Saccharomyces cerevisiae S288C: one gene and its partners. The gene in region 3 interacts genetically with the main gene of each other region. Each region holds a gene or a part of one and is shown on either strand. Other genes may lie near its edges.

Region 1 (3,716 bases), on a different chromosome or scaffold from region 3:
ATAGGAGCACGGTTTACCCCTTTTGCTATTGACACATGTAATATCGCATAAAAAAGAAACCGCACTTCATAGTGCATAAGCAGTACAGAAATGATATCACATGTAAGTGATAGCGATTTGACTGTTTGCTACCGACAAGACTATCTGAAATAAGAAAAAAAACGACCCCAGTGAGGGTTGAACTCACGATCTTGCGATTAACAGTCGCACGCCTTAACCAACTTGGCCATGGAGTCACTTTAAATTCTGCAGAACGTGAAAGGTTCGATTTCCATGATCTACACGATTTTAATCATCTGTAAGCCTTGCCATGAAGCTAAATTGGTGAATTTTTAAGAATTGTTTTGTTGGAACGAGAGTAATTAATAGTGACATGAGTTGCTATGGTAACAATCTAATGCTTACATCGTATATTAATGTACACCTCGTATACGTTTAAGTGTGATTGCGCCTATTGCAGAAGGAATGTTAAACGAGAAGCTCAGACAATACTGAAGCTGTGTTAAAGACCTATTAGTTGAACATGTTATGGTAGGTACATATATGAGGAATATGAGTCGTCACATCAATGTTTAGTAACTACCGGAATCACTATTATATTGGTCATGATTAATATGACCAATCAGCGTGTGTTTTATATACATCTCTTATTTAGTATAAGAAGATCAGTACTTATTTCTTCATTAATACTAATTTTTAACCTCTAATTATCAACAGAGGAATATGAGGATTCCTAGATCCTCGAGGAGAACTTCTAGTATATTCTGTATACCTAATATTATAGCCTTTTTCAACAATGGAATCCCAACAATTATCTCAAAAATCACCTAAGCCTCACATGCATGTTTTACGTTGTGGTTGATGATCTATTGATGTTGAGGTACCATATTTTGAAATTCATTAAAACAACTTCTACCGGGCGTGTGGTCTAGAGGTATGATTCTCGCTTAGGGTGCGGGAGGTCCCGGGTTCGAGTCCCGGCTCGCCCCCATTGATTTATTTTTATCAAATTTTTTAATATTGCATATCTTTAGTGGGCAAAAAATTTTTCCCTGGGCAAAAATATAAGAGAGCTCATCTTATTGTTGTCAGCCCAATGATTCCCTTGTCAAATTGAATTTTCGGATTTACTTGTTCAGGTACCCGCGTTAAGGGGCTGCCGCGCCTGTCACTCTAAGAAAAAAGGAGCCATCAAAAACCATTCAGCATTAACTAAAAACGCGGGTAGAGATTACTACATATTCCAACAAGACCTTCGCAGGAAAGTATACCTAAACTAATTAAAGAAATCTCCGAAGTTCGCATTTCATTGAACGGCTCAATTAATCTTTGTAAATATGAGCGTTTTTACGTTCACATTGCCTTTTTTTTTATGTATTTACCTTGCATTTTTGTGCTAAAAGGCGTCACGTTTTTTTCCGCCGCAGCCGCCCGGAAATGAAAAGTATGACCCCCGCTAGACCAAAAATACTTTTGTGTTATTGGAGGATCGCAATCCCTTTGGAGCTTTTCCGATACTATCGACTTATCCGACCTCTTGTTGTTTGAAAATGTCAATTGATATCCATCCATTATATAAATGCTCAAAACTTGCAGCAACTATTCTTTACCCTTCCCCTGTTATGGATTGCTAGTCTTAAGGGGGAAATTTGCTGTTTACTAAAATACAAACCAGGTTTGTTTTGGCTTTTATTTGCATTTAAGTAATTACAATTACAACCATTAAAAAGAAAATAAGGCAAAACATATAGCAATATAATACTATTTACGAAGATGTCAGCGATATTATCAACAACTAGCAAAAGTTTCTTATCAAGGGGCTCCACAAGACAATGTCAAAATATGCAAAAGGCTCTTTTTGCACTATTGAATGCTCGCCACTATAGTAGCGCCTCCGAACAAACGTTGAAGGAGAGATTTGCTGAAATTATCCCAGCAAAGGCAGAAGAAATTAAAAAATTCAAGAAAGAACACGGTAAAACCGTTATTGGTGAAGTTCTTTTGGAGCAAGCTTATGGTGGTATGAGAGGTATTAAAGGCCTTGTTTGGGAAGGTTCCGTGTTAGACCCCGAAGAAGGTATTAGATTTAGGGGTCGTACTATTCCAGAAATTCAAAGGGAACTACCAAAGGCTGAGGGTAGTACAGAACCTTTGCCAGAAGCTTTATTTTGGTTGCTTTTGACTGGTGAAATACCTACTGACGCTCAAGTTAAAGCCCTTTCTGCTGATTTAGCTGCCAGATCAGAAATTCCAGAGCACGTTATCCAACTTTTAGATAGCCTCCCAAAAGATCTACATCCAATGGCGCAATTTTCTATTGCCGTGACTGCTTTAGAAAGCGAGTCTAAGTTTGCCAAAGCATATGCTCAAGGTGTATCCAAGAAAGAATATTGGAGCTATACATTTGAAGATTCGTTAGATCTGCTGGGTAAATTACCTGTTATTGCTTCCAAAATTTATCGTAATGTGTTCAAGGATGGTAAAATTACTTCAACCGATCCTAATGCTGACTATGGTAAAAATTTGGCCCAACTTTTGGGCTACGAAAACAAGGATTTTATTGACTTAATGAGACTATATTTAACTATTCATTCTGATCATGAAGGTGGTAACGTTTCTGCCCATACTACACATTTAGTGGGTTCTGCCTTATCTTCGCCATACTTATCTTTGGCCGCTGGTTTGAATGGTTTAGCTGGCCCATTACATGGTCGTGCCAATCAAGAAGTTTTAGAATGGCTATTTAAATTGAGAGAAGAAGTGAAAGGTGACTATTCAAAAGAAACAATTGAAAAGTACTTGTGGGATACTTTGAACGCAGGGAGAGTTGTTCCTGGTTATGGCCATGCGGTTTTGAGAAAAACTGATCCTCGTTATACGGCTCAACGTGAATTCGCATTGAAACATTTCCCAGATTACGAGTTATTTAAGTTGGTCTCCACCATTTATGAAGTTGCCCCAGGGGTTTTAACTAAGCATGGTAAAACTAAGAACCCATGGCCAAATGTTGATTCACATTCCGGTGTTTTATTGCAATACTATGGTCTAACTGAGGCTTCGTTCTACACTGTATTGTTTGGTGTTGCCAGAGCTATTGGTGTGTTACCCCAATTAATCATCGATAGGGCTGTTGGTGCTCCAATCGAAAGGCCAAAATCATTCTCCACCGAAAAATACAAGGAGTTGGTAAAGAAAATCGAAAGTAAGAACTAAGGAAAATTTGATTTTTGATTCAGGGTATGCGACTATTCAAACACGTATTTTCATATACGAATGAGTAGTTTATAATTTATATAAATATATATTACATAAGGAAATGGCTATGACTTCATGATTTTTACGCTTTGAGTCCCCTATGCCTACCGGTTATGTTATATACTTGGCAAATGATATCAATGAATAGAAAACAAAATGCTCTTAAATTCCTGCAAAGCGCTTTCAAATCGAATTGTGGTGGGCTGGCGCGCTGATTTAGCAGTAAAATCTAGCCTGTAGTCGATATACTACGTCAAGGTGTAACTAACGTTTATATGTATATGAACCTGCAGAAGAAGCAAAATGACAAGGTTAATGCATCTTTATCTGTCCTAGAGTAGAAGATACACTAAAAAGTTGATAAAGCGAATATAATATGGTCATGTGAAAAAAGCAATCTCATAAAATTTTCTCTTTTTCCTTTTTTTCTTCTGTTCTTACCTCAAGATAAATGTCACTTT
Region 2 (3,349 bases), on a different chromosome or scaffold from region 3:
AAAGTTGATTCAAAGTGATTCTATACCACTGGTTTTGGCTAGTGTGGCATGCATTAGAAACATTTCTATTCACCCTCTAAATGAAGGTTTAATTGTTGATGCAGGTTTCTTAAAACCATTAGTAAGATTGTTGGACTATAAGGATTCAGAAGAAATTCAATGTCACGCCGTATCTACTTTGAGAAATTTGGCTGCATCATCTGAAAAAAACAGAAAAGAGTTCTTCGAAAGTGGTGCTGTCGAAAAATGTAAGGAACTGGCTCTAGATTCACCTGTTAGTGTTCAAAGTGAAATTTCCGCATGTTTTGCTATTTTAGCCCTAGCAGATGTCTCCAAATTGGATCTACTGGAAGCAAATATCTTAGATGCTTTAATCCCTATGACTTTTTCCCAGAACCAAGAAGTTTCTGGTAATGCTGCTGCTGCTTTGGCAAATCTATGTTCAAGAGTGAATAATTATACAAAAATTATTGAAGCATGGGATCGTCCGAATGAAGGCATTCGTGGATTTCTGATTAGATTTTTGAAAAGTGACTATGCTACCTTTGAACACATTGCGCTATGGACAATTTTACAATTGCTAGAAAGTCATAATGATAAAGTGGAAGATTTGGTTAAAAATGATGACGACATCATTAACGGAGTGAGAAAAATGGCAGATGTGACCTTTGAGCGTTTACAAAGATCAGGAATTGATGTTAAAAATCCGGGGAGCAACAACAATCCAAGCTCGAATGATAACAACAGTAATAACAATGACACAGGATCTGAACATCAACCTGTAGAGGATGCAAGTTTGGAATTGTATAATATTACTCAACAGATTTTACAATTTTTACATTGATTTTCTTCAAAAGCGGGACTAGGCATTATAATTTTTATCAAAATTTTCTTCTCAGAAGTTTTATTTTCTTTCTCTCCATTTCTTCCATCTTTTTAATCTTTGTTTCCTTTTTTTACATCATATTACTTCTACCTACTCTACTCTATTCTAATTTCAATTGATTTTTTTTATTTTATTTTTTTTTTTGTTAATAAAAGAAGAAAAAACTTAAAAACGAATAAGAGGCTGTCTTTGTTCCGTAGTATATGCCTATTTCCTTCTAGAAGTTTGAAGTGTCGTAAATTTTACCTACGGATAATGTTCGTTACATTGTTGAATGGCAACTGTAGTGAGGTAATGTTCAAAAAGTGAGAAAGCGGGAGAGAAGGGCTACATACAAAAACCAATTCTAGATAACATCTATATCTTCGTTTTTAGAATATATTGTAATAAAACACAATTGATAATACAGTTCTCTCTTCGTCCTCTGATGGTGGGAGATCTATTAAAAATACAAGTTAGCTGAGCGGGGGAAAAAAATAGGTCTTACCCGGATTCGAACCGGGGTTGTTCGGATCAAAACCGAAAGTGATAACCACTACACTATAAAACCTCTTAATTATTGATTTCCACAATAATTTTATCATATATCAACACTATTCTTCACATAGTTTTTTTAATCCCGGTGTCTCTCATCTGCTAATGAAAATACGTTCACTCATATTTCATGCACCTTCCAGTAGACTGACCCTTCATAAGGTTAAGAATATCATGGGGAAATTATCGCAATGCATGTCTCTTAAAGAATACAAGAATATATAAAGGCGAATCAACGATTCTTCACGATAATTTGTTTTCCTCTTAATCACACAGCAGTCTGAATTCTATCAGTGGCACATTAATCCTTGTTTCAATGCTCGTGTGCACATCTGCGTAAATATACATTCTTACGTTTTCTTATTTAATAATAGTAGGTTGAGCTTCGTCCACCGGGTAATGCTCCCGGAGCAGTGGAATTAAAAAAAAAAAGGGTGAGCACCGGAAACAGCTATCTGCGCTTAAGTATCACTAACGTAAAGCATAGGTAGGATTTCCAGTTCTGCCACATTTGATAAATAGTGTAATCCGTAATTATCAAGCGAGATAGTTTTCGAATATAATTTAGAAGTAAGAGCAAAATATTAATAGTATTTCATAAGGAATATTGGAAGAAAGGAGCGTAATACGAAAGATGAGGTATGTTTGATAAGATATATACGTATATTTATATATCACTCTTCTGAGAAAGTATGCCATAGAATGAGGATCACTAACAAAGAAAATGTCAATGAACTTCAAAGATATCGTTTAATGAAACAGTAGCTCTAAAAGAAGGATCGAGACAGATGTTATGAAACTGTTGATGAGTGATCATCAAGTGGATTTAATCAATGATAGCATGCAAGAGTTTCATGTAAAGTTCTTGGGACCAAAGGATACACCCTACGAAAATGGGGTTTGGAGGTTACATGTAGAGTTGCCGGATAATTACCCATACAAGTCGCCAAGCATAGGGTTCGTTAACAAGATATTCCATCCTAACATTGATATCGCATCGGGGTCCATATGTTTGGACGTAATTAACTCTACATGGTCGCCTTTATATGATCTGATAAATATAGTGGAGTGGATGATACCAGGTTTATTAAAGGAGCCTAATGGTAGCGATCCCTTGAATAACGAAGCTGCCACATTGCAATTACGAGATAAAAAACTGTATGAGGAAAAAATCAAAGAGTATATAGACAAGTATGCTACAAAGGAAAAGTACCAACAAATGTTTGGCGGAGATAATGATAGCGATGACAGTGATAGCGGCGGTGATTTACAAGAAGAGGACAGTGATTCTGATGAAGATATGGATGGCACTGGTGTTTCCAGTGGCGATGATAGCGTAGATGAGTTAAGCGAGGATCTAAGTGACATAGATGTCAGTGATGACGATGACTACGACGAAGTCGCAAATCAATAATTTCGAGCACACACATATATATATATATATATATATGTATGTATGTATAAGTATATATGATGGCATACTATACCACACGTACGACTATAATTACAAACAACTATCAAGCAACTACAAGGATCTCTGTGGGCTAGTGGCCTGCGGGCTCAATTTTGCTCTTGTTCCTGAACGGTGAATTCTGTAGTCTGTCATCCAGGGGAAGGGCAGGGCACTCATCAACAATGTGATAGTCAGAAAGCAATAATGTTTTGTATTCTGATGAGCTTTCACTATCTCTTCCGCAATACCCCTTTTTGCCTATATTACGGCATCATCTTTCCCCGCGTTCTCGTGGGGGCCAAATAAGCTTTGTCCAAGGGGCTGTTGCAACGGTAAAGGTAGTCGAGCCAAGTGACACCAGCAAACAAGGAAACAAGGAAGCAAGGAAGGCTTTCCATTTTCCAATAACGACATGAGTCTATCTATGGTGTATAAAAGTGGCAGGCTTTTCCTACATTTTTTTTCCCTGATAACTT
Region 3 (3,341 bases):
CCTTGGGTTGACCAGTGCTCTCCTAATCAAAAACTCAGCCAAGGGAGAAATGACGATTGGTAGCGATTCTGTCCCGGAAGTTTCCGATTCACTCGAGATGGACTTTAATAATTTTTGGTTGGCATGCGATGTAGATAGTAACATAGAATCACCCGAAAGCTTTTGCGAAGATACGGCATCCACAATAGTGAATTCACTGTTAGATTTGTCGGAAAAAGTGGACAGGTTCTCAAAACAGACAGCTTCTACCAACTGTAATAAGTACAATTCCAGCTCCTTGTCTGATGCCTTCTTCAGCCTATTTACGGCGTACGATCTCACTGAAAGGTTTTTAAAAGTTGAGCCTAATAGTTCTAATGCGTCGTCTATATCAATTTCTGCCCATGAGTCCATTAGTTCTAAAACCTCTACTCTTTCCGATTCTTCTCTCAAATTTGTACTCTGTAATAACTTTGTAAGAGCTTTTTTATTGTTCATCAAATAATACCTATATTTCCATATTGAACCCTTTTCATGTGCTGTTAATTTAGTGCCAGGGGGGTAGTTGATGATTTTATTCAAGTAGTCCCTCTTTTTAATGTCCGGCTTCACTTGCTTGTCCAAGTTTGCATTTTTAGATGCTCTTTCCAATCTCCTATACTTTTCCTCTATTGGATCATTGTTTGGTTGGTCAGGATCGTAAAACTTCAATGTGGAGTGATATTTGTCCCCCAAAGAAATTTTGATTTGAGGATCATTCCTATTCGGTTCTCGTAAGTCTGTGCTTAGTCCAGGATTGTTCTTCAAAGTTGGAATATTCATTTGAGTATTCATAATTTCCCTTTCGATGAACACAACAGGAAGCTCTAACATTGGAAATTCTAAGTTTAAGACAAAGGTGCCCTGAGGCCAAGTCCTATTTTCCCGTTGTTTCCTTAATTTGCTTATAGTGATTTCGTCAAGCCAAGGGAGTCTCGTGAATTCACCCTGAAAATATTTATTCAAATTTTCTTGATCTTTGTTATCAGTGACCACTTCACAGTGGTCAATCACATCATAACGAAATTTTAAGGATTCAAACCCTCTTTTTAAAGTACAGTCTTTTAAGTTAAAGATGCTCGTTTCTAGATTGAAAAAGGGAATTTGCTTGGATCCATTGTATTCCCACAAAATAATGCGTAAATGACTGCTAAAGGTAAGCTGTTTGATACGTATGGGCAAAGTCAACCAATAATCCCAGGTTCTAGAGTTTCTGAAAGGAATATACGGCGTGTATATCGGAAGAGTTAAATTTCTGTTTCTCTCTTTATCAAATACCTGTAAGGATACAATTAGATCACTAGAAGGGAATACATTTGACCCTATCAGCATTAATTCAGGGTTCAGGATTTTTTGAGATGGCTTCAACAGTGGCTTATGTCCTTCCAATGACTTGATTTTCACTTTCAGGGGAACATCCAGATCCTGTGAGACACAGAATGTTATGTTGTTCAGTGACATTGTTGGAGTTAAACCCTTCCCTCAATGCTTCACGGAGATGTTATTGTTGTTTTACTTTATCCTTTAATCCTTTTGACTCAAACTTTCTTGAAAAAGTGTTTGATGCCGGATCTGCATATACCGAATGAAGGACTATGTCCACTTATTTAAAACGTTCATATAAAAATTTCATGCACAAAGTCACAATTTAAGATTTGTCGAAAGCTTCAGCCCCATGTCGAGGTGTATTCGCCAGTCCGTATGCACAAACTTCAATGTCTGTAGGCGACAATGCTTTAGCACTTATGCCTCTGCTCTCAAGGAAATGACACATCCTATAAAACCCTCAGCGCAAACGCTCAGACATCTACAATTCACTCAAAGAATACCTTTTCAAAAAGGATTGGAAATACAGGAGACATTAGTTAGGGCAAATTTGGACATCAAAGACATTCAATCGAAGATTGAGAGAAAATTAATACAATTGGATGAAGAATATAAGGGCACTGCAACAATAAATGATAACGAAAAAAGAATATTAGACAAGGTTATGGCAATGAAACCTAATCCGATAATATTAACGTTTGAGTTTGAGCCAACTTATACAGGTGGGAAGAGGATTAAGAAAACTATGACGCCAGATCAGATAGCGGCTTATGAAAGTTTCATTCCAGAAACGCAAAAGGACAACCCACGACCAAAGTTTGTTCAAGTGGAAAGGGGTGGACAAGTAACATTTCATGGTCCAGGCCAAATTGTTATTTACATTATTTTAGATTTGAAAACATTTCAAAGTTTCCCTGCTAAATGCTTGGTTTCATGCATTGAGCAGGCCACTATCAGAACGTTGAAGAATACCAAGATGTGCGACGACACTGACAAGCCTTTGAACTTAGATGCTATGACTACAAAGGACACTGGAGTTTGGGTTGAAAATGGCAAGAAGAAAGTTGCTAGTGTTGGAATACACGTCAGACGTTCCATAACATCGCACGGGGTAGCAATTAATGTTAATACAGATCTATCGTATATGAATAGTTTTGAAATGTGCGGTTTGAAAAATACACTGACTACTTCAATTATGGAACAACGACCCGATGCTGTTGTAAATGTGCAAAGTGTAGCAATTAGTTTTGTCAAAGAAATGACAAAGCTGCTAGGAATAAAAACTTTGGAAAGAATGCAAATTGACGACGTCAATATTTTGAAAAAGAATCCGTGAGACGGATGACTCCCCCCATACTTTCTTAAATGAAAGGATGCTTACCTTTTTTTACATGTGAATATCTATTACATATATACGTACGTATATAATAATCTCTGACGTGAAAAGCGGATCGTGTGTGTCTTGTATTTACGATGCTAGTTGGGGGAAAGGATCTTGAAGACAATAGCTATAATCCCGATGGAAATAGTTCCAAATGTTAATAGTGTGAAATGATTACATAGCGTGTTCTTGATGCTAAATTTGTCAGTACCCTTAGGATTCATGCCCGGGACGCCTCTAGTGTCATGTTCGGTAGTCTTTTTTTTAGATGCAGTTGAGAGTTCTTGTTCTTTCTGTTTGTTCTTCTTCATCATTTGTGAATTCTTATATCGTTCCACTTCTAACCTAGTTTTCAAGTCTTCTATTTCCCTTTCCATGCTTTTTTGCTTTTCATTATTTCTTCTTTTCTTCACTTCAAATGACTTTTTGAAAAACATATGGTCCCTTTCCAACTGTTTTACTTGATTTCTGTTTTGTTCGATAATCTTTTCGTATTTCCCCGACAGTTTCCTTCTTAATCCATTTTGCAGCTTTACCAGTTGCTGATCATTTTTTTCCACTAAAAGTTTGTTCGTGTATTCTAGATGTGTCGTATAATTAATTAAGAAATTCTCCA

The links.
Region 1: mutations in LIP2 (region 3) and CIT1 together harm fitness less than expected from each alone (positive genetic interaction), as found in Saccharomyces cerevisiae (2 studies listed by BioGRID).
Region 2: mutations in LIP2 (region 3) and UBC8 together harm fitness more than expected from each alone (negative genetic interaction), as found in Saccharomyces cerevisiae (2 studies listed by BioGRID).

What each region holds. Positions count from the first base shown.
Region 1 is NC_001146.8:629,119-632,834, reverse strand, and holds CIT1 (citrate (Si)-synthase CIT1), read left to right. Parts: upstream 1-1,773; coding exon 1,774-3,213; downstream 3,214-3,716. UniProt on the Saccharomyces cerevisiae protein: Specific citrate synthase with catalytic activity only with acetyl-CoA.
Region 2 is NC_001137.3:129,718-133,066, forward strand, and holds UBC8 (E2 ubiquitin-conjugating protein UBC8), read left to right. Parts: upstream 1-2,054; coding exon 2,055-2,059; intron 2,060-2,182; coding exon 2,183-2,834; downstream 2,835-3,349. Other genes in the region: protein anchor VAC8, read left to right, coding at 1-844. UniProt on the Saccharomyces cerevisiae protein: Catalyzes the covalent attachment of ubiquitin to other proteins. Required for the adaptation to the presence of glucose in the growth medium; mediates the degradation of enzymes involved in gluconeogenesis when cells are shifted to glucose-containing medium.
Region 3 is NC_001144.5:615,671-619,011, reverse strand, and holds LIP2 (lipoyl(octanoyl) transferase LIP2), read left to right. Parts: upstream 1-1,693; coding exon 1,694-2,680; downstream 2,681-3,341. Other genes in the region: phosphatidylinositol 3-kinase VPS34, read right to left, coding at 1-1,479; FAR10 (Far10p), read right to left, coding at 2,821-3,341. UniProt on the Saccharomyces cerevisiae protein: Catalyzes the transfer of endogenously produced octanoic acid from octanoyl-acyl-carrier-protein onto the lipoyl domains of lipoate-dependent enzymes. Lipoyl-ACP can also act as a substrate although octanoyl-ACP is likely to be the physiological substrate.